Linked DNA regions of Drosophila melanogaster. The protein of the gene in region 1 interacts with the protein of each later gene in a pairwise test. Each region holds a gene or a part of one and is shown in the gene's direction. Other genes may lie near its edges.

The links.
Region 2: the proteins of CG4955 (region 1) and CG5906 interact in a two-hybrid assay, tested with the Drosophila melanogaster proteins (one large-scale study listed by BioGRID).

The regions. Positions count from the first base shown.
Region 1 is NC_004354.4:17,071,164-17,088,326, forward strand, and holds CG4955 (uncharacterized protein), read left to right. Parts: upstream 1-10,283; 5' UTR 10,284-10,420; coding exon 10,421-11,487; intron 11,488-11,559; coding exon 11,560-12,046; 3' UTR 12,047-12,193; downstream 12,194-17,163. Other genes in the region: wcy (wacky), read right to left, coding at 1-284, 347-585, 655-1,070, 1,130-1,225, 1,291-1,376, 1,486-1,561, 1,627-1,701, 1,783-2,034 and 2 more; CG4949 (uncharacterized protein), read left to right, coding at 7,771-7,845, 7,905-8,423; CG8945 (uncharacterized protein), read right to left, coding at 9,260-9,423, 9,517-9,706, 9,796-10,157, 12,303-12,817, 12,919-13,372, 13,842-16,449.
Region 2 is NT_037436.4:11,862,370-11,878,982, reverse strand, and holds CG5906 (uncharacterized protein), read left to right. Parts: upstream 1-7,677; 5' UTR 7,678-7,745; coding exon 7,746-8,336; 3' UTR 8,337-8,526; downstream 8,527-16,613.

The DNA.
Region 1 (17,163 bases):
TCACACTGATTCCGCAGACGGGGCCCATGCCGGGCACGATGCTTTGGCTGCTATTCGCTCCACTGGAGCCGGAGGAGGCGTTGCCACCGGGCGTGGCCGGTGAGGCATTCGCCACCATCACTCCGCCATCGAGGGTAGCCTTGAGGCCAAAGGGTGGATTGCAGGTGTAGGCGATGCTCATGTTGTTCGTGTGGCCCACAATCGTCGGTATGGGACTCTTGGTGAAGTTCAACGAGGGCGACATGCTGTGGTGCATATACAACGGCGAGTTTACGCTGTTGTCCCTGCAATATTGATATCCATGAAGTTTAGTTGATGATCTTGCAACATGCCTTCAATAGCTTACCGTAAGCTGCCGGAGACCGAGTTATTGACCGAATTGTAGGCGTGATTGGTCCCATCTGACACCGAACCAACCGAGTTAACGCCGTGATGTGATTGTACATCGAGGACGCCCAGGCCCAGGTGCATCTTCTGGCGCATCAGCAGCGCCTGATCCTTGCCCTTGGCACCCGGTGGCAGTGGAGCATTCGAGTTCAGATGATGCTGGTGCGGATCCTGACTTCCCAGTGTGGGCACAGTCGTCTGCAATGCATAATGCATATAAATAAGAATAAAGCCAAAGCTTAAGGCTATCAAACAAGCCAAACTTACGCCAGATGTGGAGCCAATGTGACCGACAACGGAGTTCCTCAGACTGCTGCTGCTGGCATTGCTGCTGCTGCCGCCGGCACTGTTGCTGCTGTTGCTGTTCAGCATTCCCGACATGGTGGGCAGCATTGTGGCGCCCGTCACCGGGCCACCGCCCGTTCCGCTGCCGTAGTGCAGTCCCCCCGTCGCACCTGTGCCCGTCGCCACGGATGCGGAGGAGTTGGCAGTTGGGTGGGAGGACAAACGAGGCAGGGCATTGCCCATTGGCTGATCGCTGTTGCTACCGCCGCCGCCTCCGGGACCGCCTCCGCCCGGACCGCCGCCGTGTGTGGTGGGCGTGCCGCTTAGCGAGTAACTGGCTTCCGAGGTAGGCGTCGAGTCGCCGCTTATATCCATGTCAGCATTGTCGTTGTGTCGACCTGTCGGTAGGATTTTAAAATCAATTAACTAGATCCTACGCAACCTGCTTTATGCTCACCATCCAAACGCCTTCGATGACTGGGCGGACCGCCATCGTTGTCGTAATTCCATCTCAGTCGTGAATTGTCCCGCGAAGAATTGGAATGTTTGTATGCTGCAAAGAAAAACACATGTTTTGAATATCATATTTGAAATTTCTGAAGCAGGTTCTTAACTCACTTGATCTGGAGAAACGATCATCGCGGTCGCGATCGCGATCCTTGTCACGATAATCCTTCTCACGATGCTGATCGCGCGGCAAATTTCTGTAACCATATAACACATTAATGACTATTTAACCAAGGACTAGGGTGCTCTTATTACAGATTCTTCCCAAGATCTTTGCTGGTCATATTATAATGCCATTGCCTTTACCTTTCTCTGTCCACCCATTCCTTTGGCTTCTCCCACTGAGAGATTTCCGTCTTGCAGTTGTAATAATACATTTTGCCTGAAAGCAATCCAATATTATAGTTTGGAGCCTGGAGAAGAATAAGCTGTCATGGGGGGACTCACCTGATGAGCTGACATGCTCGCTCCAGTCGCCATAACGCGCCGTCCGTTCGCCGCGATCGCTGCGCTCTCGTTTGTCTAACAAAAAAAAAAACAAAAGCCACAGAGTATGTTTAGTAAATAAGGGGAGATGTGGGGTAAATGGGCGCTTGGACCTACCTGCGTACTTGTCCTTCTTGTACATGTCCCTGTCGCGATCGGAACCGCGGTCCCGCTTGTCGCGCAAGTCGCGCAGATCTCGATCCCGATCTCGATCGCGATCGTCGGACCCGGATCGTTTGTCGTTCTCCCGCGAGGAGCAGAGCTTGCCGCTGCCGCCTCCGCTGCCTCCTCCGCCACGACGATCCCTATCATGGTTGGTGCGATACGACGACTCCGAATCGCGATCGTTGCCACGCCGATCACGTTTATCTATGAAGAATAGAATAATGTATTGTTATGGTATACAACTCCAACTTGCAGCTGCGCTAACTCACCTGAATATTTATCCTTCTTGTAGACATCCCGATCTCGATCTCGCATCTTCTGCATAAAGCTGTACCGCTCGCCACTGCCGCCACGCCCATTGCCGCCACCTCCGCCCCGATGATCGCTGCGGTCGCGCAGATCGTGCGAACGGGACGACGGCGAATCAATGTCCGGCGACTGGGAGCGGTAGCTGTTGCCATTGTTCAATGGTCCGCCGCCATTTCCGCTACCGCCGCCACCTCCTCCAGCGGATCCGCCGCCTCCTCCACCGCCAGCGCCTGGCGACAGGTCACGATCGCGATAATTGGAGGAACGATCGCGTTCGTAGTCGCGCTTTGAACTGCTGTACTTTGAGCTCTGCACGGGTAAATAAAAGCGCACACAGTTTTTAGTCGATTTACATTCCCAAAATCAATTGCACAGTGCTACAAAATACAATGTTTGTCGAGTACTCTCTAAGAAATCGCAGTAAGGATTCAAGATGTGGTCAATATAATCAGTACATCAAGTAATGTAGCCAATATATGAGTTTTTCGTGTTCCAACAAATGGGATTAATTTAGGAAATCCTTACTGAATCTCTTGGATAGTACCAACCCACTGGTATATTTAGTATTGCATTCTTAATAGCGGTTGATTTAAGTCTCGGTTTAGTTGTAACTTTTGAAGTTGGGTGGTTGGTTAGTTGAACTAAATCTACTCAATAGGAAAATCATAAGTTAATGCATAATGCCAGCTACTTTTGCCAATTTTCTCGCTTGTGATTATTGCCAATGGAAACGAAAGGATACAAAAAGAAAGTTGGGTGAAATGAAACTCCCGATGGTTTGAGAAATCAAATGTGTAATCGAGAAGAATTTTGAAATGTGTCGTGTGTTTGGTGTGTGTTTTGGTTTATCGTCTCCTGAGTAAATTATATATTAATTGAAACTAATTATTTAGGATTTTTTTAAGTGATACTTTCGTTTTTGGTTCATATTGGTCGTTGTCTTCAGGTTATCCAAACTGAAAATCTAATTGTCCAGTTTAATATTAATCAAAATTAAAATCCTTGTTTGTTGTCCATCGTAAATTTTGGGATCATCCATAAAATTCCAATCTTGTGTTTATCAAAAAATTTTATAATAATTAATAAAGAATCCTTCATAATTGAGTGGTGTTTCATTGTTTAAGAGATATAGAATAATAACTCTTTGGGTGTTTGGTATGTAAATCATAATTTGTTGATGTTTTTTATTAGCGGCGATTTGTGTGTCGTTTTAGTCAGATTTTTGTTTAAAATATACGAGTTTGGATGGAAGATTTATTCCTGCTGCATGTTTCATGTTCTGTTGCCTTCTTTTGATTTTTATTATTCATTATTAAGTAATTTTATTTGTTCCTTAATTTGAATGTTTTTTGTTTATTCCTTATCAGGATTGCTTTTCCTGCGCACAGCACGATGTTCGTGGCACTTTATTGGTTTTTGATCACTTTATTTGCGTTTTTATATTTTACTATTGTTTTTAACCATTATTTTCTGGGATCTTTGGGTTACTTACTTCTAGGCGACAGAGACCCACTGCTGAAGGCGTTGAATTCGCTGCCAGCGTCGCTGCTGATGCGCTGTTTTTGTTATTGTTGTTATTGTGGTTGCTAATGTTGCTGTTGCAATTGGCAATTGTTGTTGTCGAAAGGGAGAGATCAACAGCCATGTTGTTGCTGTTGTTGTTGCTGCTGCCGTAGGAGTTTTTGTTGCTCCTCATAGATAATTAATTGAAGTGTATTTGGTTTTAATTTGAATTAAAAGTCCAATTGGTCGCTTGTTTTCGAGGGCACACTTTATTTGGCTTTGGTTTATTTCCTATTTGTTTTGCATTAGTTATTTGTTGGTGTCTTAATTGATTGTTGTTGCTTTATGTATGAGGCACATTTGTGTTTTTGTTGTTGTCGTTGATTATTTCGTTAGACAATTTGGAAATTGGTTTGTTCTTCCGTTCCGCACATTCATGTTATTTTTAATATTGGTGTATAATTGTTTACTACGTCGTTTTTAAGGCTATTTTAATTTGATTAGGTTCCTATTCCTTAGGCAGAGTTTAGAAATTGGTTATGCATTCGATTTCTAATTAATATAGTTTGATAAATTTGTATACTTTTAACCATATATATCATTCGATTTAAAACATTTGTTGGTGCTGTTCGGTTAGATGTTGTAATTGATTAAATGATCGAATTCGGATTGGGTTTGTTTTTTGTTTGTTTTTTTTTTTTAGCAGTGATGCGTACAGATTCGTTTCTCAAGTTAAGATCAGTTCAGGCTGCAATGCCGCGTTTTTGAATGGGTTAAAATGAAACACGATTCGGTCAGTTCAAAAATGGATGAGGTTACGGGAACGTAAGATCTGGGATGCACAACAAAGACAGCGATTGACAAAGAAGGAGAAATATGAACCAAAAATAATCCAAAATCCAGGCTATACAATTTGCAAATTTTGTTAATTTTTCTCTTTACCAAAATATCAGCAAATGACACTAGGGAAATCGACGGTTCGATAAAAATACGATTTACATTGGCTTTTACATTCTTTTTTTTGTGGCTTTGGGTGCACTACGGGCTAATGAGCTAAACTACAAAATTAAAAATGTCCACTAAAAGCTGGCATGTAAATGTGATTAATTGCGGTGTTCGAGGAGAATTTTCGGATCGGTCTGCTTACCTGGTATGATGTGTGACTGGTATGCTTCTCAAAGTACCTGGAAAACGGTGGGGCAAGATGAAGAGTTCATTAGTTTCCTTTCAAATGAAGTTGGGTATATAAGACACACTTAGTTGGTTTAGTTCTGCTATACTCGCTCTAAATATGTAATGATTTAAGGGAAAATATTCAAGTGTTTGAAGGAAACACAACAATGTTTATGACATGACAAAGTGCATATTTCGAAGTTAACCAGCTATTTCAGCTTATTTACAACGCACTTTTAAACGCACTGACCTGAATCGATTTTTGTCAAATTCTCTATTTTAAATCCCTTTGTTTGTGTTAGAAAATCAAATTTAAATATTAAACCCACTAAATAAATGCCAATTGTAAATCGATTTCCCAATTCCGATTGAGCTTTATTTTATCAACAGAAGCGCTTATCAATTGCCGGCATTGATTTGTTGACAGTCATTAATTTTAGTTGCTCTGCGTTTAACGGACAATCGAAAGCCGGCTAAAAAGCGATGGTAAATAAACAAACAGCGAAACGCGTTTGATAAACAATGGATATGAACTAATTTTGCGGTGCAATAAGCAACTGTAAATGTTACAAGAACTATTTTTTTTTTTTTGGCCTTTTGCCAGCTGAGCGCGTGCGAGCGAGAGGCAACTATTGTGTGGTGAAAAGACGAAAAACATGAATAGCGCGAGAAGATGGATAAGTGGGAAAATCAAAGCAAGAAACATAGGGAAAACAAATTTATTTACGAAAATCACTTAATTAGGGTAAACGGAGAAAATTTGAGGATAAAAAGGAAACGCGGGCACTGCGAGTTAGAGCGAGATGGCAGTAGGACAGAACGTAAACAAAAAAATATACAATTATGAGTGTGCTAGTTTGCCTGTGTGTGTGTGATTGTGAGTACGTTGGGAATCACTGTTATTGCCGATATTACGGTAGATTGAAAATAATATTTGATATATTACCCATCGTTCATACGCTGCGGTTTTCTAGCATGCATTACCATCAATGCAAGTTTTTCGCCAAATACGCTGCTGCTGCTTCTGTTGGTTTTCCCTCTCTCTCCTGCTCCTCCTCCTGCTGCTGCTTCTTCCGCTGCTGCTGCTGCTGCTGCTGCTTATGCGTCTGCTTCCTCTTCTCCTTCGTCGACTGCTGTTGCTGGTAGTGCTGCTGCTGCTTCCTCTTCTCGTGGAGAAGATAATGCAGCCTTATTCCGATTTTATCCAATATTCTGGGGCCTTTGGCGCCTCCTGTTTGCTCCTCCTTTTGCCTCCACCGCTTCCTCTTCTTCTTCTCACCTGCCAAGGCACGCTCGCTTGTATGTGTGTGTGTGTGTGTTGTGGTCTGCTTGTATGGGAGGCTCTCAGTGGCATGTGTGTGTGTGTGCTTTTCGTCTGTGTGGCCCGCTGACTCGGTGTTTGTGTGGCGTATATGTGTGCCTGAATTGCGGTCGCCTTATTATCGGCTTATTTTGCTGCCTCCTAAAAGTACAAACATTCATAGCAATCCTTTAGACAGCTTCCTTTTTGTCCTCTCCTTAATGCAATTAGCATTCGGAACGCCTTTAATTTTTCACTTAAAGCACACACGGCATTCGCCTCTGCGTGCACGACCGTGAGTGACTGTGTGCGTGCGTCTGTGCATGTGTGTGTGGTGTCGCTTGATCCGTATTTCGTTTGACTTCTTTTCAATTTTACTCCCTTTTTTTCTTGGTACCTTACCGCAATTCGCAATTTGCCGCTCGCCTTCTTTGCTGGGCTGCAATCGCCGCATTTATTTGCTCAGCATTGAACGACAATTGTTTAATTATATGCCGACTTGCTGTGTTCGCTTTTTGGCCTCTATACTTGATGATTTTTTTCAATTCTTTTGCATTACGCTTTGTGCGGTCTGTTCGTCGGCACGGCTGTGTTGAGTTTGCCAGCAATCGGTCGCTGCGTGCGGCTATCCCTCTCGCGCGGCACGCTATGCGGGTGCGAGAAGAGTTCGGCTATATGTGCCAATTGGCTGGTTGATATGGTGGACTCTAGGTGGCGCCCCGTTTGTGGTATTTTTTAGTGCCTGACACCGCTAGGCGTTGGACGGATTGCAAAATGGTCACTCTGTAGCCGGGGATGCCAACTAGGTTCGCATTTAAATTCTTTTTTGGTTACTGTTAAATAATAAATATATATATAAAAACATAACTTTTAACTTTTAACTTTTAATTTGACTTTTGTTATTGTACATATTATGTATATACGCAATAGCTGATCTTTATAAACTTTCGATGATACTGAAATAGTTTTAGATATAGATAGTTTATATTAATTTATCATATATTGCACAACATCATTTCGATAGTATCGCATAATCATTTCGGGCACACTGCTCAAGGGTATTCCTATCGGATGTATTGTTTCTCGATAAGCCGACTTAAAAATTATATGTTTTTTAAAAAAAATTATATATACATATTTACACTTGAGAAATAAGAAAAAGCATTTGCATATTATTAAATTCAATAATTTTTTAATTTAATATAAAACAAAAGAACAAAGAATGATAATTCAAACTGAAAAACAATGAGATTTCTTTTCATATGCAAGATCTTAAGGTGGTATAACTGGTAATAATAATTATTTGACCTGCTTTGCTAAATGCCCTTTCCGACTCCGACGAAGTTGTCCATCGACTTGCGTCAGTTTCACCACAAACCCAAAATATATATGACTGCAAGCTAATATTTGAAAGTAATTAATTATTTGAATTAATTAAAATAGTTGAAGAAATTCTAGTGATTAACCTAAAAACATCGATAGTCTGAAATAAGCATCGATGTTTGGAATATTTAAAAAAAAACCTCGGTGCATCGATATTAGCATCGATGTTTCGGCACCTCTATTAAAAACTCATCCCGATACCGATAATAGCGGCAGAAGAATTTTAGAATTCCTTAAATATATATTGTTTAATTTGTAAGCATTTTTAAGGAATGAGTTTGAGCGACTGCAACAATAACTATATATATTTGACGGGCAGTGAGGATTACGCCCTTAATTTGGCAAAGGTAAGTTCTGAACATCGGATTCAGGTCGGTTTTTGAACATCAAATTGCATTTCTTTTAGCTATGCGAACGCTTTGCCACCAAAGAAAAGCGCGTCTTACTGATCACCAGTCGCCAGCAGGGAATGGCAAAGCGCTATCCATGGGAGGCCCATAACTGCAGCAAATACCTGACCATTCTGCAACTGGTGGATGTGGAGAGCACCCCGCTTCGCATGCTGGAAATGCAGGATAGCGCCGAATCCTTGCGCAGTCCCGATTTGATAGTCTTTGATCTGCAGTCGCTCGTTTTGGATGCACTACTGCGTCCTGTGATGCAGCAGTGCTCCACGAACAAAATGGTCCGGCAAATTGCCAAGTGCTCCGCATCCTTTGTGAATTACCGCGAAATCCTGGCCAATCTGGCGGAACAGAAGGCGGGCAAAAGCATCGACACCATTGTGGTCATGTCGCAGGAACCGTATCCCATGTCAGCAGCCCAGTTCAAGCTGCTTATTGGACTCTATTTCCACGGCAACGAGTGCCACACGAATTTTGCCAAGCTCTCGGCCAAGATCATGGTCTCCCAGAGATTCGCCTAGACGAAGGACAGAAGTTTGGAGCCACTACAGTGCCTTGGTAACCAGTTCCTGAGTTTAATCATAGCTGGCAGTATTGTAGTTATTCGCCGTATGCTCTTGCTTTTCAAACAATACTTACTTAGAACGTTTACCTTATGCATTATTAAAACATGCATTTTGTCAGGTTAGACGAATATTTTCAAAGCTGGAACGAATTTTCCAATCTCGAACGAATTTCGAGTTATTAAGACTGCATTTCCATTTTATTGACTTAAAGCTATTCATATTGCCTTCCCAAAAGATATCCAAATGGGGAACGGTCGAATATTTAAGAAAATGAATTTATAAAAGGCAAGGCACGCTATATTATATCCGCATATAATACTAAGACAGTGCGTACATTTGGCAAGAACTTAAGAAATACTGTACGTTGAAAATATCTCCCTACATGGCATCCATGCAAAATGTTATACGAAAGCGAAGCAATCGAATGCTCGATCAAATATAAGACTTTATTATAGTATACTATTTAGTCTAAAAGGGATTAAAACTACCAAAAAAAAATTGCTGATAATTAATTATAATATACATACATATAACAATAATATTTATTATGCTAAACGGAAATCTCAACTTAAGGGAATTTATATGAAATAAAAAAAAAATTTCGAATGCATAAGATACGTAAATGCAGCTAAAAGTATTGGAGAATGTATTCCGGAAATACGGCTAGTGATCTCCGGAACGCAAGCCACCAAAGCCCGTTTAAAAGGAACTAAAACTCATTCACATGTAGCCCCACCCCAAATCCCTGCTGCCTTCGTCTTCGATTGGAATCCGATCTCCGCATCCCAGCCTCATATGTAGTCCAGCATGCCGCTTATGATCTCAAAGGCATCCCGAGCCGTGGGCTCAATGGCGCTGCTGGGCAGCAGATAACCGTGCACTCCGTTGTCCGCCAGCTGGAGCGTGTAGCTGAAGGGAATTCCGATCTCGTAGGCGGCAAAAGCGTCCGCACAGCCTGGATAAATCAAGGAAGCCAAAGGATTGGCAAGGTCGGATAAAGATCTCTATTATATTCTACTTCGAAGCAAATAATATAAATATTACGCACCCGATCGCTGTTCAATTAGATCGTTGGATGCGTCGACCTTATATCGGGACTTACTACCCTTTTTGCGCAATCCATCGGTACCCACCATCGCCACGTCCAGAAAATCATCCAATCTTTCTGAATTGAAAGTGGAATTGGCCTTGACCGGATAGGATATCACCTGACCATAGGCCTGTAGGGAAATGTAAAGCTGCAAAAATAATGAATAAAGTTAATAAATCAAAAAATATATCTATTTTAGAGAGTTAATATAAAAATTATATATTGTTCTAAGCATACCTTTATCTGCGTCCTATAGTCCATAAGGAACTCAGATACTGCCTTGGTTTCCGGTTCAGAAAATGGCGCTGGACCGGCGTAGAACTCATTGCAGGGTGCCTTGGAGCTACCCCGTTTGCCCCAATGATACAGCCAGTTTCTGTCCAGGTCCACCCCGTAGCAGACCTTATCCGGACCCCGTTTTTGCTGGAGCCATGTCATCGCCGAGTCGAGGAGGCCACTGGGAGGTGGAGTCTGGTGCTGAGATCGCGACTTCTTCCAGAAACGATCGTACTCGTGGCTGTACGCATATCCGTCCGGATTCAGGACCGGCATTATGTACCATGTGGTGTTCCGGATGAACTCCACGTCCTCGTTGCTTTCTGTTGAGTAAACGTTTTATGGGTTATTTTTATACATAACTTTACATAATGCATATGAAATAAATGTTAATAAATATTAATTCTCTTAAGAAAATAAATACGTTGTTCAACCGATCAACGTAGCCGCTTTTCCCCAACTCAAATTACATTAGTTATCCCTTTGTCAGTCCGTTAGTCAGTATATTTGTAGACCCAGAAATCGATAGTGTATACTTTAGACCTTTACAGCTTGCCACTTCTCCTCCAGTTGGACCAAGATCAGAATGGAGAGGCGAAGACCCCGAAAGTCCTCGCGTAAATACGTGTGCTCCAAATCAAACTCTTCAGTTGGAGGAGGAGTAGAGGAAGACAGTGGCTCATCATTGCCTGCCACCGCCAAAGCGTTACTCCTCCAGCCGGACGGTAATAAAGCACCAACCATGACATCCCTTCTGGGCGAACGACTCAGAAGAGTTTCTCGCATCGCAAGAGCTCCGCACAGCCTACAAGTTACCGAAAATCCAGAAGAAGGTGGAGCACCAATCGTACCACTAAGAGAATCCGGCGCATCGGAAGTGTCAGAAGTAAATCCGGGGGTTATGGTCATTCCGGAGTCGGCCAGTCCCCGGGGATCGGCGGTGCATGGACAACACGCTAGCTTGGTCTTCAGTGCTGAAGCCAGGGATTCGGACAGTACGCGGATATCGGAGGAAATGGTGGAAGTGTTCCAAACCTCTTCGGCGAGAACCACATCCAATGAGCCCGCAGGGGGCAATCTGCGCTTTGAAACCACTCCCGTGGCTGTAAGCGAAAGTATGGTTGGCAATATAAACTTCTCCCCGAACGCCATCTACGATCAGAACAGGTATAGCAGCATGATGTCCAACGGGGATTACAATAATGGCAACAGGGGTGAGAGTGAGAGGAGCGTGGGAGCCTGCCACCATGGTTGGGCGGCGCGACAACAACAAGTTGCCGCTGGACCTGCCGGCAGAGACACCCTGGGATTCGCCATCAGTCTGGGCGCCGCTAATTTGGGCCAGAACCGATGCAGTCTGGGCGTTGCATGCGATGAGGACTGTGGCTATGGAACTGGCTGTGATTTTGGATGCGGTCAGGCCCATGGCGTTGATCCCGGAAGCTTTCTAGGTCCGGGAACCATGGGAACTGGTCCATTAATATTGACAACGGGATCAGGAGGCCCACCTGTACAGAGCGCCCTACGAGGAGCTCAAGGTGGCGGCTATAAGCAAGTTGGCGCCGGGCAGCGGGGAACTTTTGGAACAGATTTCGGAAGTGAGCAGCTTAACTTCTTCATTACCTTCCTATTGGAGGTCCTCGGTGTTTTAGTGTGAGTATATATTTATATATTCCAGGATTGGATCATTCCAACTCTATGATAATCTACGTAATCTTCCATTAGTTTTTTTGCCATCTGCACGATAACATTTTGGATTACTCTGGGCTACCATGTTGTCCAGTTGCTGGTGGACCTGAAGAACGCCGATCGCAACATTCAGGTGGCGGTGGCCATTGTGTTCGGGCTGCTGCTCGTTGCGTTTGCCATATCGCAGGTGACCAACCTCAGTGGTTCCTGCTGTCATTCACGGGATCGAGCCCGTTCCAGAACCAAAGGTGGTGGCATTGGCTTCTTTCACAGATCCACCAAGCCAAAGACCAAGAGCTGTGCATCCAAAACCAAGACCTGTGCTCATAAGCCGAAGATTAAGAAGGCAGCCACTTGTGGACCCAGCCTGGGCTTTCACACGCACCGCAAAACGAGGTATACGGATTGCGAGGGACGGGCAATTTTCTTGAGCTCGAGACGATATGCTATTCCGACTGAGATGAAACAACCACCCACCATTGTGCTCTGGATGCGCGACACACTGGTTCGCATGTTGCAGTAACCACCAACGAAGCCCCACGTTGGGCGCCAATAATACTTAAACTGACTTAAGACTGCGAAACTATACGTATTGCCTGGAAACACGAACCATTCGATCATTTGCAAAAATTTCAATTTGAATAAACTTTAAGAGAAAACTTTTGTAGGTATTACTAAATTGTTACTTATGATCTGGGCCAGTATTATTAATATCGTGAAATAGATGTTTAAGAATACGAACATACTAGTTCGGTAATAGTATATGTGTATATACTCACTGTTTGTTTTCATTAGTCGCAGCAGTTCGGCAATCATCCAGGTGGCCGCCGCGGGTCCAATCCAGGCCAATCCCTGAGCACCAGCTTCGACGAAAACGGCATTTGCCTGGCCCGACTTCCGCTTCCGCTTGGGTCGCTTGATGGTGTGTAGACCATCGTTGTTCGCCGCCGCCGCCGTCTGTTTGGATTCGATCTTTACCACAATTAAGGGTCGACCTTCGAAGGAACGACCAATGTGGATGAGCTCAACGAGCTGCGGATGACGCATTCGCACCGTCTCCAGATACTTGACGATCTCATCGTGATTATGGTAACGATTCCATGTCATGGGCGGTGGTGCCGTGGGACGCGGCTTCGAGGGACGAGTGGTTTGTAGGTAATCCTCTTTGGTCAGTTCGTATGCGATGGCCTTGCCCACATCGAAAATGAGCACTTCGTGCGCTATGCCCTCGTAGTTTAGAGTGCCCTGAAAGTCCACGAGCATCTTGGGTGGCACAAGAACATCCGTAAGACCTCTGAAACGATGAGGTGAGTGAGAAGATTTGGTTTAAAATGTATTGTAATAATCCCCAAATTGATTGTCATCATACATTTTTGAGCTTTAAGTCTAGCTTACCTGAGACTTGGACCCTTGAGCCATTGCAACTTAACGCCGTCCTCGCCCTTTTTGAACTCCTCCAGTGCACGGACCTGCTCTTCATCCTGCGGCTTTAGACGCCAAATCTGATACTTGTCATAGCTTATGCGCCTGGGAACGTCCGGCCGCGATGTGGTGGTTGTGGTGCTAGTGGTTCCCCTGGTGGTCATTCGAGTGGCCAAGGCCTGGAGGAGCGGATTACTTGTGCTCGTAGAGATGGCACTGCCAGTGGAATTGACAATATGATGGGCCAAAATGCCAATCCAGTTTTGTGGATTCCTCAGTGGATCCACAATGGTCAGGATGGGCACCTGGGCCGCCGCCGCCGATGGTGTGTGCGTCGTTGTTGTCGTCGAGGTGGTCGATGTGGAGGTAGTGGAACGACGTCTAAACTTACGTTTTGGCCGCGAATCGAACCAGCTGGAAAACCATTCTGTTCGTGGAGAAAATAAGTCATATATTGTGCTTGGGCTGTTTGTCTTTGGTTATATTTCCTAGCGGTGCAGAAAGCGTGAAGGAAAACGAGAACCCATTTGGGAGACCCACACCGTTAGCCATTCAATTAGGTTCTGGGTTTTCCCTTTTATCTTCCTGCTCATTCAGCCAATCTCGCCATTAAATGAACCACTCGAATAACAAGAACATAGCATGGCTCGCTTTTAATTGCACGGTAATTAGATTGAAAACAACAATGTTAGAAAATCCAAACATATAAATTAATGAATTGTCTAATCATCGTTACTATAATTCCTAAAATAAATATCAAATCAACCATGAAGTTGTTTTAACTGCCTTTATATATGCATGACTATTATTTTGGGCATAGTTTAATACTACCTAACATCCTTGCAATCTGTAAGCATTGGCCTTAAACATTGAACATTCTTTTTTGTAGTACTCACTGTCGTAGTCATCTTCCGCATCCGCCTCCGTGGTCGAACCGAATCCGAACCAGGACTCCAGCCAACTGGGTGGCGCCTTGGTGGGCGGGGGCAATGGCACTGGCATGGTAGTGGTAGTGCTGCCGATCTTCTTAGTGCGTCGCTGCAGGCCAAACCAGGAACCAAACCAGCTGCCCAGCGAGGAGGAGTCTTCGTCATCCTCCGAATCCTCATCATCCGGCTCGGCATACGCTTCATTGCTGTGGGCGCTGTGATAGAGGGTATAGCTGGGATACTTTGAAACGGGTTGTGTGGCTGGCTCCTTGTCCTCCTCCTCATCGGGTGTGCCAAAGCCATCCATAAGCCGCGACATGGCCACTTGGACAGGGTAGAAGATCATGCGAAAGAAGCCAGCAATTCCGGAGTCCTCATCGTCGTCGTAATCCTCATCGGAGTCCACCGGTCGCCTCTTGATGCGAATCTTCTTTTTGGCCATGGAGTTTTTGGTGCTTGAGGTGGCATCCAGCTCCTCGCTGCTCGATATAGTCGCTGTGGTCGTGGTTTCCTCCTCCACCATAGCTCCAAAATCAGCTCCCTCCTCCGCGGAGCTGCTATCTTCCTTGAGATCACTCTGTCCCACCTCGGTGCTGCTGCTTTCATTGGGCTTATTTTTATCCTCATCCTTGTGCTCGTCCTCGAAATAGTAGTCTTCATCGTCGTCCTGCTCCTCCTCCTCCTCCTCCCCCTCATCCTCGTAGTCGCCATCGGACATGAGTTCGAATATATCAAAACTTGGCAGCTGGGGTCTTCCGCGTTTGCGTTCTTTAACTTTTCTTTTCTTTTTTTGATTGGCATTTAGTGGAACCTTGGGTACTTCATCCTGACTGTGATTTCTGTGAAGCAGATGCAGGGCGGTGGGTATGTGAAGTACGCCACCCGAATTCTTCTCTTTCTTCTGCGTGGATGGTGGTGTTTGCTGCTTGGTCTTTCGCCTCCCGGAACTTCCCTTTGGTGAGCGCCTTTTGGGAGTACTCACCCGACGAGCTGCTACAACATTTGGGTTTCCTCTGGATAATATGGTTTTGGACTCCTTAGATACGACTTTTTGTGATCGTTTTGTAGAATCTGCTGTGACCTCTTTTTCCGCTTCTTCTGATGGAACTTTGGTCGCCTTTTCTGTTTTTATAGATTTCTCTATTTCACCATTTTTAATGCTATACAAAGAGCGACGACTTCTGCGGTGTTGTGTTCTAGAAGAATCCATTTCTCCCTGATTCTTCAGGAGCCTAGCTCTTTTAACCGCATTTTTAAGTACACTCTTCTTAATCAGAGCTTTTAAAGATGAATTTCTTTTTTTTGCGTGAAGTGGTCCCCTTCTTTTCTCTCTTCGTACATCTTCCACCGAACGCCGTATTCTAAGATTTAGTTGCTCATCCGATTGAAGTGGTTCCTGTTCTTCTAGTGTTTCACTTTCTTCCGCCGGCTCTAAGTCGCTTCTCAACAAATGCTGACTAAAGACATTGGATGTGGGCAGTGTGGCCTGGGGCATATGTGGTTTCTCCAGTTGCGTATAAGCCGGCGGTGGTCGCGATGTGGTGGTTGTGGTGGTGGTGCTCGGTCTTTTGCCCAGGATAATGGGCAAGGAGCCTTGCGGACCTCTGGTGTTATTTGCCCCATAGCCCGGCCTCTTTTTGATCACTTTAGTCTTATTCTTTGGTATCTTCTTGCGCTTCTTCCTACGTGTATTTGGCCTTGAAGTTGTGCTGGTGGTGGTGGTTGTGCTTCTGGTGGTGCTACCCGTTCGGTGGGGCAGCTTGAGCAGCTGATCGGATACATGATCGATGGGTCCGCTGGTTACCATCACAGGTGGTGGTCGATAATTTGGTTTGGGTAATTTGTTACTGGGCTTGGTTATTGGATTCTTGGGCTTCTTCAGTCGGATGATCTGAGGCCTGGCGGTGGTGCCACCATGATGCACTGGATTCAGCGTGGATATAACCGTTCCCGGTGGAATTGGCAGGCATTGCTGCTCATATTGCCTCCGCAGACTCTCCATATCGGCATCGTACTGTGCCTTTGTTACATAGATCGCTATTGCATTGCTATCATTCCTACTTTGGGTGGGTATTCCATTCGGATTATGACCCACACCCACTTGGCTAATGGCGTAGACAATCCCGGTGGTTGGATGTGTGAAGTATATGGGAAATGTGGTGCCATTACCGGCTGATTGTGGCTTTGTTTGGGGCTTGCGCGATGGATTGGGTTCCTTAATCTCTAGCAGTTCGCTCTGCACATGGAATTGATCGAAAATTGTGGATCCCGGTTGGCTTTCCTCCACAGACTCAAAGACATACGGCTGCGAGGGTGCCTGATCCTGATCCTCATCGAAAAGCTGAAAATCCAGTTCAGGCGGCTCGAAACGAATGGATGTCTGATGCTGGTAGCGCGGCACAAAACGGCGATCTTGGACGCGACGCTGAAGGAGATCGCGACCCCAGCTTTGGCGCACCAGGCTGTCGGACTCTTCGGCACTCGGATGATAGCCAAAGTCGATGGCACCCGTTCGATGGACGACATCCACGACCATGACCACGATCAAGAGCACAACGGGCAGCCCAGTTACCATGTCTAATGCTCGCCAAACTGACGATTATCCACGACGACGATATTACTATGGCTGTTTGGCTGCGCGGCTGGTTGGCAAATGAAACGAGCCCCAAGTTGCGGGCCCAACTCAGCCGGTCGGTGAAAGCCCCGTCTTCGGGCCCCTGCGCCATCACAGTTTCGGCCACTTGGCTTTTGGCCCGTAACGCTCCTCCTCCTCCTCCTCCTCCTCCCAGTCAACCTCCTCTTCTCCACTCGTCTTCTCTTCTTCTGCCTCTCTGTGGCTTCGAGCTCGCGTAACCCCAACTCCTCGAACGTTCTGGCCGCCACTTAGCTGGTATAACCCCCCCCCCCCCTTTCACAAAGCCAAACAACCAACCAACTATCTTCTTAACTGGCCTTGCGACAGTTATCGAGCCATGCCAAATTGCCGATCTAATCGGCAATGTGATACACAAGGGTTAAGCTGTAGATAAATAATGGAATCGAAAGTACAGGAGCATGGATAACCTAAGTCTTATCCTATTTCCTTTTTGCATACTATGTTTTATACTATTAATAAATCGATTTTTTTTTACAATTTTTTTTTTTTTTATATAAAATTATGTTCTGTGGATGGGAGTAAGAAAATAAAATTGTCATTGAAATTAACAACTACCTAAATTATAAATAAAATATTCAATTAGCCTTTTTCGCTTCAACTGTAATATTAAGTGGACTTTTTGCTTAGTGCTCC
Region 2 (16,613 bases), on another chromosome or scaffold:
AAACTCAAACATTGAGACTTCTTTGTTTCCATTGTCCTTCATTTTCAGTGTTTCATAGTTTCGTTCCTTATTGTCATCAGTATCATCAGTATCGCAGAAAGGACCGTTTGGCGTTCCCATCGGTAGAAAACAACAAGATACATCTGATTCTAGGAACAACTTCCGTTCATTGTTGTCCGCACGCATGGGACATTCGGCCCCTGTGTCTAATTACAATTTGCTCTTTGTCCAACGGAGCGTATGCGTAATCATAGAGACGGCAAAAGGAAGCTGGGGCATATGGAATGGTCCGCCGTGTGGAATGGGAATCAAATTACATTGACAACAAGTTTTCGCCAGCTTTTCACCGGACAGAGAATGAGAATGGAAACAAAAGCACCTGAAGGCCAAAGTGAAAACATCGCCCAGTTTCGACATTATTTTCTGCGTGAGATGAGAATGAGGATTGTGAATGTATATGGATGAAAGCCCGCAGCTAAACAAATACGCCCGGCGACCAGTCAAAGCAAATAGCGCTGGGAAAATATTTGAATCTGAAATATGCATAAAAAATGTGGAAAAACGAATTCAAAGCTTGGCGAAATAAATAAATAGCGAATGCAAACAAAGTGGAAAATAAAAAAAAAAAAAAATGATGAAAACAAAAGGAGGGCAAGGAAACTTCCATGCCATTCCATTCTCAAAGTAAAACAATCAAAATTTGCGCACCATTAAATTTTGTATGGTACTCGTTCCACCGAAGTTTTCCCAGTTTCCTTTTGAATTTTTCGCAATTTTCTCATTTATCCCGCATCCCGTACAGACATACCCGCTTTCCTGTATGTGCTCTAAATTGACTTTCTGCTCAATGTTCAAAGCATCGTCTGATTTTTGTCTCTCTTTTTGCAGCTAAAGCTTTTGGCATCCTCGTAAATATTTTGTTGACACTCATCTATTTGCAAAACCGATCAGAGCGCAGAGACTGCGAAATGTCAGCCAAATTGTTGCTCAAATTGATTTTGATTTATGACATTGTTTTCGCAAATCCAGCTTTAGTCGCGTTGATACGAATCAAAACTTGTCGACAAAGCAGATTAAATGCGCTGCATGTTAGATTTAAATCTCGCTTGAATACAATTAAACTTATAAATTTATTTTTCATAAATGGAAAACAAACCTAATTATTTAATATCTGCTTATTTTAGTTAGCTGCCGGCCGAGGCTGTCATAAATTACCATTTGTTTAATATTAATTAGTGTGTCTATAAATACACAGATATTTATGAATTATGTACATTTTTAGCTGATTTAATATGCAATAATAAAGATAGTAAACTGAATTTTTACTTCGTAGAAAGGTCAATAAATCGAATTTATGATTTGTTTTATTTTCGCATTCCACCCGTTTGTGTACATCGTTGCAATTGCTTTGTTTAAAAATAAATTGATTTATTTAATTAGTTTGGAAGTTGGAGCTTACCATGAAAGTGTGACCAATCTTGCCTCTAAAGTGTGACATTTAAACCTAATTTAATAATCGCATAGTAACCAGCATATCACTTCAATGTGAGTATCTAGTTAAAGTGCCATTAATTTGGCTGGTTAGCCAACCAAAATGAATGTGTATATACATAGTGGAGTAGCTGAGAGGCAACATTATATTGTAATTTCAGAAACCAACTTAAATATTTAGCTCATGGTTACCCAGGCCCTCGAGTTAAATTTCATCTTCAGAGTGTGCCAGAATAACCTGGACGAAAAGTAAGGTAACCTGGGTACCTGGCGAGCTTTCCACCCGGCCCGTAAGTGTGACATTCTGCTGCTACCAGGACATGCTTCGAGCCCATTAAAACTAATTACTCATAATCATTTTGGCTGCCGCTTCACTGCCTCCGGGAAATCCATCCCATGACTTCTGGCGAGCGACAGTCACAGCTGCCACATACACATTGAAATTAATTAAAATTAAAATGGGAGTGGATATGGATATGGAAATGGAAGTGGAAGTGGGACCCAGCGAACTCAAGTCCTGGGTGATTCACATGGAAACGACTCAACCGCAGATGATGGGGAAATTAGTGGCAGGCAAAAAAAGAGCCATGGAGATGAGTCAAATGTACAAAGTCAAGTGCGCGGCGGCGGCCGATGAAAAATCTCAGCGAAATTAATTAAATTCTGTAATTTAAGGCACTCCCCGTTGGCATCACCGACTCCTGCGGCTCCACAGTGCGTATGTGTGATGCTTTCATCCTGATTATATTTAGTATCACTTCTCGGTCTCTCTTTCTGTGTTCACCTGGGTTCGTTGACCTTTCGGCCTGACATTTGCTCGATATACAAGGAATGCAGGCCAGGTCCAGGTGCCTTTGGTGCACTGACAATAAAAACTCAATTCAAAACGAAATCAAATTTTACGGAAAAAGAATAACTCAAAGTGTCTCGTTGCATTTAAATGTTATTATAGCTTAACTTTATTAAGCAGACTACTTTATGCTTTTTGTGTTTGTCGTTTAATTTAAATATTTACTTAAAAGCTATAGACATTTTAGATATGAATATGTAAATATTCTTTTAATCCCAGTATTGACAATATTGACAAATATTTATTTTATATCCTCATACTTCCTTTTTGCTCAGTGTATTTGTTTGTTTTGCATCATGCCATAGCTGTATGTGCGTGTGTGTGTGGATCCTGCAGGCATCACCTTTCTCCTGCCATCGCCCGCCAGATGGCGCCACATCTGCAGCGCTGCCAAGCGCAACGCAGCGCAAAATTATTCTAATTAGAGTGGCCCACCTCCCCGCAGCGCCGTGATATCCTTTACAGTGCCTTTGAAAAGTTAGTTCAGTTGGACAGACTCGCCTGTGTGCGTGAGTGTGTGTGTTTCTAATTTGTCTGTTATTTTTCTGGCTTTAAGCACTTTAGTTTACCAGCAGTTACACTCCTTTCAAAGAGCTAATGTGTGCGCCTGTGTGTGCAAATGGAAAAGCTTCGAGTGAAATGTATTTACCTTTCTGATTTTAAATTGAGTCTAAAGCACTTAGTCTATTACCCCCTTTTAAGCTAGTGTTGTTTGCAAGAATCTTTAAATCAGTTTTATTAGTGTTGCGTACAGCAATATGCCTTTATATATATTTGTAATTCTTATTAACTTTTCAGAAAGGAGGAGCACTTTATATAAAATGTATATAAATTATAATTCGTCAGTGGGAAAATTTCTAAAGCTGTGATAAAATGAAATTTTTAAATGTGATGGCAACCAGAATTTATATAGTAATCTCACGGCATGGCGACATGGACCAAGACTTATGCACATGATTTATCTTAAGCCGAATAACAAAAGCGGTGGCGGTGGCGATGGCACTTCCTGTGCGTGACGCAGCTCCTCCACATCCCGTTCCATGAATCACCCGCCGAGTGGCAACATGTGCTTAATAGTTTAACGCTTCGTGTGCCACTTAGCTGGGCGTGAATGCCTATCCTAAGGAGGAGCGAGCAGCCAGGAGTTGCCGCACACCGCACACACACTCATCCCTCTCCACATCGACCGTGCAATCCTGCTGATAATAATGGTAAAGTACTGCAGGAGGTGGCAATGGAGGTGATGATGCAGTCTGTCTGCCGGAGAAAGCCCCATCACATCCCAGCACTCATTTTTCGTTTCTGGCGTTAGTGGATCCTTCTCAGTTACAAATCCGCGACGTTCTTTTCTGCATGCCTGCCGTTTTGCTCCGCTTACGCGACCCCAGCCAATTTCATCTTGTTCCGCGTCATGAACGGACAGACGGACAGCCAAAAGGACGGACAGCGATTCCGGCCGGAGTCCTGGTGCCCATGTCCTCTCAGCCTGACATCGCGTGTCGCATGATGTATGACATTTTTGCGCCTCATAAACAGCTGTGCTCCACCCATGGTAATAAGGTACTTACACTCGGAGAAATGCTAGATACTAGTTTCAGAAAAAAACAAAATATTTAAAGGAAAATATTTAACAAATCAATTTGTGAAGCTTTGTTCTCATGTTAACACATAATTGGAAAGAAAGAAAAACTTAATGAAAGGCTCGATTTTAGGCAATTTTTTTTTTTAGTGCTCATGCTTCGCGAACCAGGACACCTGTCATCCTCTGCTCACCTGGTTGCTCTTTTGTTTTTGTGCATCGTCCAGACAGCCTGTACAAAGTGGGCGGCTGGCTGTATTTGAATTGGGTTGGAGCTTGGGGTTGGGTACTGGGTACCGGTGACTGGTGACTGGGGTTTGGGGTTTTTGAGGGTGGTGCCGTGTTGTTTGTTTTCGCTTGCTTTAACGAAATTGGCACGACTGGCGGGTGACGACGATGCCGACGTGTTGACTGTTTGGATGTTTGGCTATTTACTCGTTTACGTTAACGGTGAGCTGACTTATTTTCCCCGGCGGTGCAGTTCAAATATGCCGGGAGTTCCTTTACCCGCAACCGCTTGACTGCACGAGTCAAGTGAATTGACCTTTGATCCTTTCGAATTTCGTTTCCGAATTCCGTTTGTTTCGCAGCTAAAAACAAATATTCAACTAGACAGATGGACATAATCAGAAATATCTCTCTTTTGCACATTAAATGTATCCCACCATTTTGTATATTGATTAAATATTTTTGGTACACATTCGTTGTGAAAAATCGCATTTTTCTGGTGAAATGCTATCTCTGACTTTTATATGTTTGCATTTTTATCGGAATCGAACAAAAAACTGCGTGTGTTTTTCACACTGGCTCAGAGAATATGTCAGCCCGAAAATAAAGAAATACATTTGTTTTTTAAGCTATTTATGCAATCCATACTTCGTATAAAAGAAGTGGATTAAGTGGCCAGCATTTTATAATATTTTGCTATCAGTAGCTATGTGACAACGATCCTGGAATAAATATGGCGCAAAATGAATGGAGAAGTTGCCTTAAACATGTAGAACACCTGTAAAAGTTCAAATTAAATGAGTGGATTTCACAATTTTTTTTTTAAACAAGTGAAGCATACACAGATGTCTGCCCTCGACGGGCAGATTTTATTTGAAGTGTACAGTAAACAGCCAAAGTTTTCCATCCACTAATTGAATAAGTTAGTTTTCCGGAACGGAACATGCGGTTATAGTTGGCTTCCTTTTGGTTCGGCGGAGTGGAATGGATTCCCGGCGGCACGAAATGCTGCACACAGAGATGGCTTAACTTTTCGACTTCCATTTATTTGCAAACACACTCATCATCATTTGGGACTGGCCGTGCCGAAAATGCCATTAAAATCACATTTCGATTTAATTTGCATAAATTGAAGTCGAGGCAGCCAGTGGAAAATGAAGCCGAATGGCCGTCTAAACATGAACTAAAGCGCCATTCAAAATCGATTCGAAATCAATTAGAGAGTGATTTCCAATATATATACATATATATGAAATTAAATGCTTAGCCACTGTGAAGTAAATCAACCAAATCGCTCGAATTTTGGTCCGGGGTCCTTTTAAATGATGGGGTCCAAGGACACTAGGCGAAGGATTATGACACTTTTTGCGGCCCGCTGGCTGCACATTCGGCCTTTGCTTTTATTGAGCGAAATGAAAAATTCAATTAAAATGCACACATGCTCGGAACCCCACAACTCGGCAGCCAAAAACCCTTAAAAACCCGGCAACATCATCCAGTAGCAGGCAAAAAAAAAAAAAAAAAAAAAGAAAAAAATATGAGAGCGGAACGAACGCTGGCTGGCAGGAAAAACGAAAGGAAAGGAAACGAGAATGTGAAAAATCAGCATAACAAAGTGGGAAAAACTATGAAAATGCATGGCCGCTTTCACTTTTGTTTTTTTTTTTTTTTTTTGGTACATTTTCCTTCTTCATTTTTTGTGTTTTTTTTTGTAGCTTTTTGCCACGCTTCAGGAGCCTGGCTACCATCCAGCTAGACGTACTCATGTGTCCATGGAGCTGGGGACAGGCGACACAATATAGCATCTCCATATCTCTCCGGTGCTCCCAAAAGTTACGGGTTACGGGTTGGAAGTGCCAGTATGTAAATAGCCGAGCGCTGCAAGCCCATTACATTTGCACAATGAATTAGACCTAGAAGGCTTTTGTACGGCAGGTCCTGCGAAGGATTCTAACCGAATCAGCGTTTATTGTTGTCGACCCCTTGCGAGTTACACATTTTGGGACTGTGATAGGAAAATTAGATATAGAATGTAGAAAGTACTCTTTGTAAAATGAATAATGAAATGAACTAATGAATATTAAATGGGATTAAAAATGTAAATGCGTTGAATTCTATTGAAAAAGGGATTTATGAAAAGCTTTTCGTTTGAAAATGAACGAAAAAATTGTTCTGCCAATTATCTATCCCAATTATTTCTCAACAAATTTACACTGACACGTTTTTGTTGATTATTTTCGATTGCGCATTAACGTTTATTATTTTAAATTCTGTTGGTTTGTGCCATTTTCTGGCATTTTCCAAAATGCGAATATTAAACGACGGCAAATAGTGCAGCGACTGGTGGGAAAACAGTAGATACATCTGTGTATCGTGGTGCTAATGAAACAAATGCCTAAACCCCACGACCTCCGGTGCTGTCAGAATCATTTGATATGGGAGGAATTTTAGAAAACCCCGAACACCCAGCAAACAAAACCCAAAAACTGCAAAAGCTGAATTTACGGTTGAATCGACAATCGGAAACGGGGAACTGAAAACGGGGCAGGCGCGTTGGTGGAACACGGTTTTATGGCGGATTTCGACGGAATATAAAAATAAAATTGGATTTTAGCGTAGATCGTAGAAGGCCGTAAATATTTTTCAATTCACTGGCCCACAAAAGCGTGTCATGGGGGGAACGAAGGGTTGGCACATATGATTTCCCCAAGGGGCGCAAAGGGGTTGCATTTGGATTCTGCGGTTGGGAATCGCGTGCAAATGATTTGGCAGTATTAACTCACCGACACCCGGGATGGCAAAAAATTGCCCGCCGGAGGCGTCAAGACCCCAAAACACTCAAACCCCTAAAGTAGGGAGGATGCTGGTGATGCGGCGGAGCAACATGTGGGCTGGGGATTATCGAGCGGAGAGAAGGCCTCATTTGAATGCCGAGCAAAGCGATTCCTTTTTTTTTTTTTTGTTGTGTGTCTTCGGTGCGTGTGGGCGGGCAACCCTTTTGGGTCCTTTCAACGGCGGTTGGCGGTCCTCTGCTCAGGCGTTAGATACAAGTTGGAGCCCGCTTTGGCTACCTCAACAAATCCTGCGAAAACTCATTTCGTGTTGCTGGCGCCAAATTGATTTCATTGCCTGTTTGTGTTTTGTTTTCGCAGCTAAATGCCAAATTCCCTTTATCCTTTTCGAATCCTTTTGTTTTGTAGAGAATAATTTCTAGTGGCGGTTTCGCCATTATCTTTAACAAATATATAAGGGCATTCCTGCGGCATTTTGATTAAAACTTTGATTGGAATTTCGAGGGTGGTTGCAGAATTCTTGCTAACGTGGCGTGAAACTCGTTTCAAATATCTTTGATAAGCATTAAGATATAAAACATTAGAAATAAATAAAGGATAATGTATTTATTAAAATGAAAACATTTATAAGACCAATTAAATATCTATTATGATTTATAGGATCTAGTTATCAGCTGCTTTGATTCCACCCAGTATGAAATTTATAAGCCGAAACACACTTCTAAATAGTTATTCGAGTTTCTTAGAGAAATGTGTCAAGATGATTAGAATAGGGGGAGGCACCACCAGGAACAGGGGATCCTAGATGGCTCTACGAGTGCTATGGAGGCGAATGACGAATGCCATGGACCGGTTTCATCAGATAGCCTTCAGCCCAAAGTATCTCCTATTTACCAACATCGGGATCTCTGTGGGCCTGAGCATGGTGGGCGATACCATGGAGCAGTCCTATGAGCGCCTCATAGGAGAGCTTCCGGATTGGAACCGAACGCGTACCATTAGGATGGGCATATCCGGGTTGACGGTGGGCCTGGTGTGCCACTATTGGTACCAACATCTGGACTACTTGTTTCCGAAGCGCACCTATAAGGTGGTTGTAGTCAAGATTTTGCTGGACCAGTTCATCTGCTCACCCTTTTACATCGCCGTATTCTTTCTCACAATGGCCATTCTGGAGGACAATACGTGGGAGGAGCTGGAGCAGGAGATTAGGGAGAAGGCCTTAGTACTGTACGCTGCTGAGTGGACCGTGTGGCCATTGGCACAGTTCATCAACTTTCTGCTGATCAAGCCGCAATACAGGGTATTCTATGACAACACCATCAGTTTGGGCTACGATATCTATACGTCTCAAGTTAAGTATCGTAAGAAGCCGGAGCCAAAAGATAATTCGTAAATGGAGAAAAATATTTGGAATATAGCTCAAATCTAATGGTCTTAATATGGTTGTCTACTGTTCTGGACTGCCACTGCAAATCATACAATAGCAGGTCCTGAAAAATGTCATTCCAATGCCTTAGATCCTGGAACTAAAATTTTGGGTGTCCTTAAATAAAATTCTTCTTTGAAGAAAATCAGCAAAGTAGAAAAATTCAAAATCTTTATTCCTTAAAGTTGCCGGCTGTGTTAGCAAATATTTTTAAAGCAAATTTCCATGTAGAACGGATTACTCCTACAGTTAAAAACATTCTTAAAAAATAAAAATAGTTGCTTTTTATTGAAAATATTCATGCTCCTTCAATACATTTTTCCAGTTATTGCTCAATTACCAGGTCGTTGGCGTTAAGATCTGAAAGTAATTTATTGTAATTGTCCAGATATTATAAAATGTTATTCTAATTGTGACGACGGCTCAACCTGACGCCATGTCTCCGGATGTCAAGCTGGTCGTCCTCCTGTTTCCCGAGGATGAAAGGTGACCGCCCGATTCGGGGAAGGATGACTCCTTGTCAAATGCAGAACGTGGGCGGAACTTTTTTTGCGGGGTGACTGCGAAGGAGCAGATTCTGGGCGGAATTCTGGGTGAATGGCATCAAGGACCAGGGAGACACTCGAGCCGTAAGTCCTCGACGTAGAATTGTGTCAAGCATACAAAATAAATAAAAACCCAGGACGGGCGGGCACGAATAAAAAAAATGCCGAAAAGAAAGGGAAATCAAGTGACAAAATTGATGTCAAGATGAGCGAGTGCCGACCGTGCCAGGATATCCACATCCAGGGGGCGCAGAAGCGGGCTTCACGGCCACCGCCAGTTGACACCACCAAGGATAGAGACTAACATCCACTCACACACACATGTCGACTAATCCAATTTAAATCTCTTAACATGATTTGCCGCTTTCTTTTCATTTTGTTGGATTTTATGCCATTATCCCTTTTGGTCTCCTCGTGTCCTTTTGGCTACCGAATTGCCAGGCGCAACGAGATGTCATTTCTCGTTCCACAGTGGATGAATTAAAGGATTTATTTGTCAGATACTCTACTGGCCGAAGAATATAAATTTAATTTAAAGTGCAAATAGCTTCTGAGCCATCATTTTTAATGAATTAAATACTTGATAAGTATTTAAGAACTTCACTACATGATTTTCACTCGCCATCGATTGTCCCATTTGGTCCACTGTGCATGCCATTCACATTCCTTCTTCCCACTGGCAAGCTGACTTCCTGTCCTCACTGTTATCTCTCCCAAGGAGGATGCGCCTTTAAGAGGCAAGGACACCGAGGACCCCAAGCACACCAAGGACTGCGGCCAAAGGGTTTATTTATTTGGTTTAGCGGCGGACTGGCTTGCCTTAGTCGCTCCATCCTCATTTTGTGATTTAATTTAAAAGCTCAGTTCCAGTCCCACCCAGCGAATTCCTTTTCAGAAGGAATTGGTGGATCCTGGGGCTCTGCGGCACGTGGCCAGCCAACTCAGTTGGGGTCCCTGATGAGTTGTGTGCGTGGTTAAAGTATCCCACAATGAGACTACGTGTTGATGAGCGAGTTTGTCAAGCCACCGACGATGGCTAACCAAAAGCAGAAACAACGAAAAAACAGGACTTCAAATTAAGCTGTTTGATGATTTTCATATCTCAATTAATTATAAAATCAACAATTATTTGAAGGTATTCAAAATATTTAAGGTGTTTTTTTTATATTTTTTTCTACCTATTCATACCCGTAAAACTCAGTTCGAATTGATTTAATGGCATGATAAAAATGTTGACACCTGCTGTAAGCAATTAGATAAGCACCCATTGAAAGCCTGTGTAAGGGATCTGATCGATATCTACTATATATGTACATATATATGGAGGATGTACATGGAGGATTCTGTGCCATTTGAGGGTCGAGCACTCTCATCCAACCACCCAGCCATCCGATTCAGGTGGGGCAGCCACGTTCAGTTAATTGGCACTCAGAGCCCTCAAACAGAAATGCCAATGATGTTTGTCTACGAAATTACCCCGACTGGAGGGCAGAGATGTACGGTTATGTTGCGTAGTCTGTATGTTGAGGTGGAGGTTCCCATACAATCCTCCGGACCACGGAGTTTGTCTACGGGTAGCCGACCATAACCTATGCCCTTGTAATGGCATTGTGTGTAAATACAGAGCAAGAAAAAAGGTTGTGAAACTTATATAACAAACTGATCTGGCACTAAGCAGATAATATAGTTGAATTCACATACACTTAGGATTCAGATAACGATTTACTCCAGCTTAGCAAACTGTTCATAGTTTCCATTTAATTTTTTTATTAAAGACACCGATTTTTTCGCAGTGCACTTCAGCTACTTGCAAACAAAATGAGTACAAGCATGAAAATAAAAGGAAGTGGAGCATTGTGTAGTCGACATGCCCAGCAGTTATAATTCCATTTGCGATCATAAAAATGCATTACGATGGTAAGCTGCCCATAACAGGCTACATAATTAACGAGATATTCACGAGAACGGTCAAGCACTAGACTCGCCCATTGTTTCGCTGAGTGTAGGAGAAAATGGTTGCAAACGGCTTTTCAAACAAAAATGCCATAACTGGCTTGAGAACACGTGGCATATGTTACGGATGGCGGGGATTCCCCACCATTTTACCCCGCACAAAAGTTGCGTCAACTTAATTAGCCATAAATTAGCCAGGATTCACGCGTTTTTAACGACTTGTTTGTTCGCCTGGGGAGCGAGACGAGGGATTGGCAATGATGGCTCTGTCCCATCATGATGGCCCTAAGTCCATCTGTCAGCCAACTTGAACGAGTTAATTTATTTATCTTGCCGCAGCAACAGCAACAGCAGCATAACCCCGTTCTAATGCCAGTTGATTTATCTAGCTGAGTTGCTCAAAACTTTCCGTCCAGGATGGGGGCATCTCGTTACTCCGTCAAAGTCCTATTGCGGACAGCATTGATAAATATGGGTGTAAACAAGCTGCTGTTCCGTTCAAGCAAAGATAAGCTGGGGAGGATCAGGGCATTAACTCGCTACAGTAAATGGATAATAAATGCAGTCATTTCATGGGGACTTGAAAAGCATTAAAAAGTAGTTTAGTATGAGAACGAAACAAGAGGGTTCTGTTCGTCATTCCCTTTTCTACAGCCGCCTATTAGCGAAACTTACTTTTTTTCACAAAAATTATTTTGCTACTTCAACAATGAATGAGACCTTCTACTTCCTCTTAATGTTACCTTTTTTTTCTGAACAAACTTTGGTTACAAATAAAATATATTTATATGCATAAGTAACCACCCACGCCATATTTTAATATCCTCCAAAATCCCTAGCGGTAAAAGTTTGAAGGAAAACTTTGAAGGCAACTATGCTCATGTGGGCGAATCCCTTTGACCCGTTTCCGTTACGTTTGCCATCGGTCAAGAGGCTTCGTGGAGGGCCATGATATTTCACAGCTGTTTGGGTAGTAAATCAACCGCATAATGGAGCCATACAAAGGCCATCCAACATCCAGGATCCAACATCCACCATCCGATGGCCAACAATCCAGCTGGGCCCCATTGGGCCTCCGGTGCTGCTGCTGTGGCAGACTAGTCGATGATTAAAAACTCTTAATTGTTGGGCTCTGGAAAATTGAATGAGCATTAAAGTGGCCAAACGAAAGTGAGGGGTGCGGGGATCATGAATCGTGGTCGGGCAACTTCATGCGAGCTTTTCAATCCGGTTTGCATATTTAACCGTAATACCTACAATCCCTGAATACCCGGATAACTTTTATGCCTGTCCTGGCAATGGAATCGCACTAAAATCGGCAACAGCGGCGCAAACAACAATTACAGAGAGCAAGGCAAAAACAACAGCAGCCCAGCACCACCACCACCACCACCACAGCAACAATCGAAATGAGAGCAACAAATTTTAACGAGCACCACAAAACCCCGAACGCGCTGCTTTTTTAAGCCGCTTTCATTTACCCGGGCCAAAAGCACCTCGAAATCCTCACCACTCCCCACTACCCTCTCCTTTGTTATTCCCGCACTCCGAGTTGTGTAATTACAAAAAAGCCGCGGGCTGAAGTTGGTAGCATAACTTGACAAATGGCACGACGGTGGATTGGAGTGAAGGAGAGCTGGGAACGGGCCGGTTAACCAGGATAATAGGATGAAGCAAATGTAAATGAAGCAGGGACCTTCCAGCTAGCGCTGGTAAGTGTGTACAAAAAATACAACGAAATAATATTAACAAAAGGAAAGAACACACAACACGAATCGCAGCACAGACGTTGACTCAAAAATCTGTTAAGGACATCTCCAACTGGGTTTTTTTTTTCTTCGCCCCCTCTGAGTCCCAAATGGAACATCGCCGCAGGTGACGTGTCCGTAGGAAACAAAAAAAAAAAAGAAAAAGAATAAAAAAAGGAACAGGATTCGCGACGCGTGACTACGGATTTATTCGTGTTGGCTGGGAAACTTCCAAACATAGTGAAAAGTTTGTCGTATCTGGATTTCCATGTGCGATACCATCGTCTATGACAAATATGTTAAGCTATCTGGATGCTGTCTGAATTCACTTATTTGAAGTACAAATTTACGTACTCCGGTCGTCCAAGGTGTTGGAATACAAATGTTTTTGGCACATACCCGTTGGCTTTACATTTGTTTAACATCTCTGTAAAAATAGTGAACATATCCATTGAGTGGTCATATCTACAATATACTTGTTAAATAGTAGTGGTATATGGACACCATAAGGCATACAACTACAGTATAATTCGCTTAGCTGCATCGATAGTTAGCTGCATCGGCAAGATATCTGCATTATTTTTCCATTTTTTTGTGTGAATAGAAAATTTGTACGAAAATTCATACGTTTGCTGCATCGCAGATAACAGCCTTTTTAACTTAAGTGCATCATATCAGCTGTTTTTTTTGCCAATTTCAATGAATATCATCAAAGTTAGCTGCGCCATCTATGAATCATTTTTGCATATCTAAAAGATGGCAAGAATGCCAACTCGTTTCAGTATCTGCGCATGTCCGTTTTTGTTTTTGCTTTGATCGTGATTTTTGTGTTTTTGTTTCTTATGACACAAAGTTATTAAAATGGGTAAAACAAAGCGTGTCGTTGGACTAACACTAAAGGAAAAGCTTCAAATAATCGAGTTAGTGACCAACAAAGTGGACAAAAAGGAAATTTGTGCCAAGTTCAAATGCGACAGATCCACAGTCAACCGCATTTTACAAAAAACAAATGAAATTCATGAAGCTGTGGCCGCGTCAGGTTTAAAAAGAAAGCGTCAAAGAAAAGGAGCGCACGACTTAGTAGAAGAAGCCTTATACATTTGGTTCGGACAGCAGGAATCAAAGAACGTAATTCTTGACCGGCACGTCATATTAGCAAAAGCGAAAGAATTTTGCCAAAAATTTAACGACGCCTTTGAACCTGACGCCAGCTGGCTTTGGCGCTGGCGCAAGCGCCACAATATAAAGTATGGCAAAATACACGGCGAATTAGATGATGATGAAATCGTGCGCTCTTTAGTTCAAGATGCAAAAACCAGCGATAACGAAGAAAGCCATAGTGATGAAGATGTGGACGATACTGAGCGTCCTACTTTTAAGGATGGGTTTGCAGCAATTAAGGCTTTAAAGTCCATTTTTATGCGAAACAATAATGATGAGTTTTTGCAAAACTTGAATTCTATGGAAGACAAGCTGTTTAATTTACATATAAACTCAGCTGTATTGCAAAAAAAAATTACTGACTATTTTTAAGTTAGTTTTAAAAAGTGTTTTAATCAATTCACCATCACTTAAATTTATATGTCGATCTTACTTATCATTAAGAATGAAATTATCAGTTCCTTTTATGTTTAACATTGTTATAAAGAAATAAATTCTTTATTTTTCCTTAAAAAAAAAAAATTAAGTTAGCTGCATTTTTAAGTTACCTGCATCGAGGCATTGTGCAAAGTACTCGAGGCAGCTAAGCGAATTATACTGTATAACAAAGCCACACATCCATTCTGGGGTCCTCACTGCGGATGAGTGAGTATTAAACATTACTCATCCGCCATGGTGGCTCATCATTGTGCCGTTGCTGTTGACCGATTTTTGTTAAAAATGGCAATCCAGCTTTTTCATCAACGTCAGAATCAGATCGATTTTGCTCAGTGCGCGGCAGCAAATAATATTGGGAATCCCCAATGAGTTTGGCAGTGGGATTGTGTGTGTGTAAGCACTGTCAATATTTCGCTGGCCATATCAAAAAGTCATTTGCAGGCCACCTTCGTGCAATCAGCGGCCATTCAGCCGGGTCATTCCCTCGGAGTCGCAGTCGGATGGTGGCTCAAACCACTCATCATCACCCACATAAATATATATGATTGCAGGTGCTGGCAGCACTTCTAGCCCAACAGTTGGTTGCACATCTGCGCAATGCAGCAGGACGAACAGAACGAACACGATGAACAGGACTACTCCTCGGGGATTCCCACGCCGCACATCTCGCCAAGCGGCAATTAAAATCTTGTATTCGAGTTGCGGGCGCAGCTGGGAAGTACTTTAATTTCCCACGACGTACGAAAATCAACATGGCTTCAAAACAGACGTCGGGAGCAATCAACTCCGGCACCACCGAGATAAGCCTACAGTGAGAGAAAAAGCATTGAACTTATAAAGTGTGTTTAAAAACACCGTTTTCACAATTTTTAATATTTAATTAATTCAGATTTTAAATTGTTGGAAAATCTACACCCCCTTTAGATATAATTATCTAATTTAGCACATATATTTAACAAATTAATTTTATACATATTTTTAAAGGATAATTCCTATTTCTGTCGACTTTCACAAGCATAGAAACAATAATTGAATTAAATACCAAATACAAAAAATGGTTTGGTTTTTACATGAGTAGAAACATCTTATGAATGAATCCATTAGATACTTTTTGTTGTCAATTTTCTGACTGTACGAAACGGAATCAAAACAAAACACGCCAAGTGAGGGTAAAAAGGTGGCGCGCGTCTCCGGCGAAGAGCCGAGCCTGGCCGGAGGATTACGATCGGCGCATGCGTTCCGTCTGCACAGACTCCGGCGAATTGGGGGCGCAAAAATCTCCAGAGATTGACAGACATACTCAGTTGCTGCAGGACTGTCGCGGAATCAAGTTTATCGCAAGGACGAAGACGCTCCACGTTTTTTTCCCGGTCCGGCGCGATGTGAGCAAGTCCTAGAGAACGCGCGCGAAAACTTCCCACCCAGTCCACCCAACTCCACCCCCCCCCCCCCCCGAAAATAAAATCATCGGTAGCTTTTGTACGCCGTACAGGTGGAAAGGCGTAGACAAGGAAACGGGCAGTGAAATCTATAAATTGACGCAAAAGTGAAGTGAAGTGAAGTAATTTAACCACGCCCTAAGCACCAAAAATCAAACAAACCAGACATGGAGCACTTGCGACCGCTGAGCTACGAGGAGATGTGCCAAATGGAGCTGCTCCAGGCAGCCGGCGGATCAACGACATCCTCGGCTCCGCCGGCCATGATGCCTATCATGGTGATACCCACAGCACTGCTGCCGGCTCCCATCGACGGGGCAGCGGGCGGTGGAGTTCCCGGTGGTGGTGGCATTGGTGGTGCGGCCATGGTGGAGCACTATTATCAGCTGCAGCCCACGCACCACCTCCTGCCAGCCGAGCCGTTACCAACGACGGCGACAGCAACAGCAACAGCAAATTCCGGCGAATTGGCGCTCTTGCAAGGCGAACAACAGATTCCACATCCGAGCATACAGCATCCACAGCAAATGAATATCCTGTGCACCGGAACACTGGGACGCCAAAGGATGCCGGCATCGGGTGGTGGCGGGCATAATCCAAACATAAATCCCAATCCAAATCCCTCGGTGGCGGCTACTTTGCCGCGCGGTTTCCAGCCCGCCGCCTTCGTTACGGACGTCGAGTCGGATTTCGAGGGCAGTGAATGCGGTGCGGGCAGCATGACCACCACCTGCATTCCGCACTTTCGCTTCGGAGCGTGCGGCCTTCAGTCCCTGCAACAGCACCACCAGCAGCAGGATGCAGTGGTGGGCTGTGGTTCGCTGGCCTACATGATGGGCTCTGGCACCTTGGGTCGGGGCCGTCGTCTGGCCGGCGGTCAGGGCAAACCTAAGCGGGTTTCCTTCAAGGGCGACAACCTGCCACCGCCGTCGCCACCGCCGCCACCAGCCGTTGAGCTAG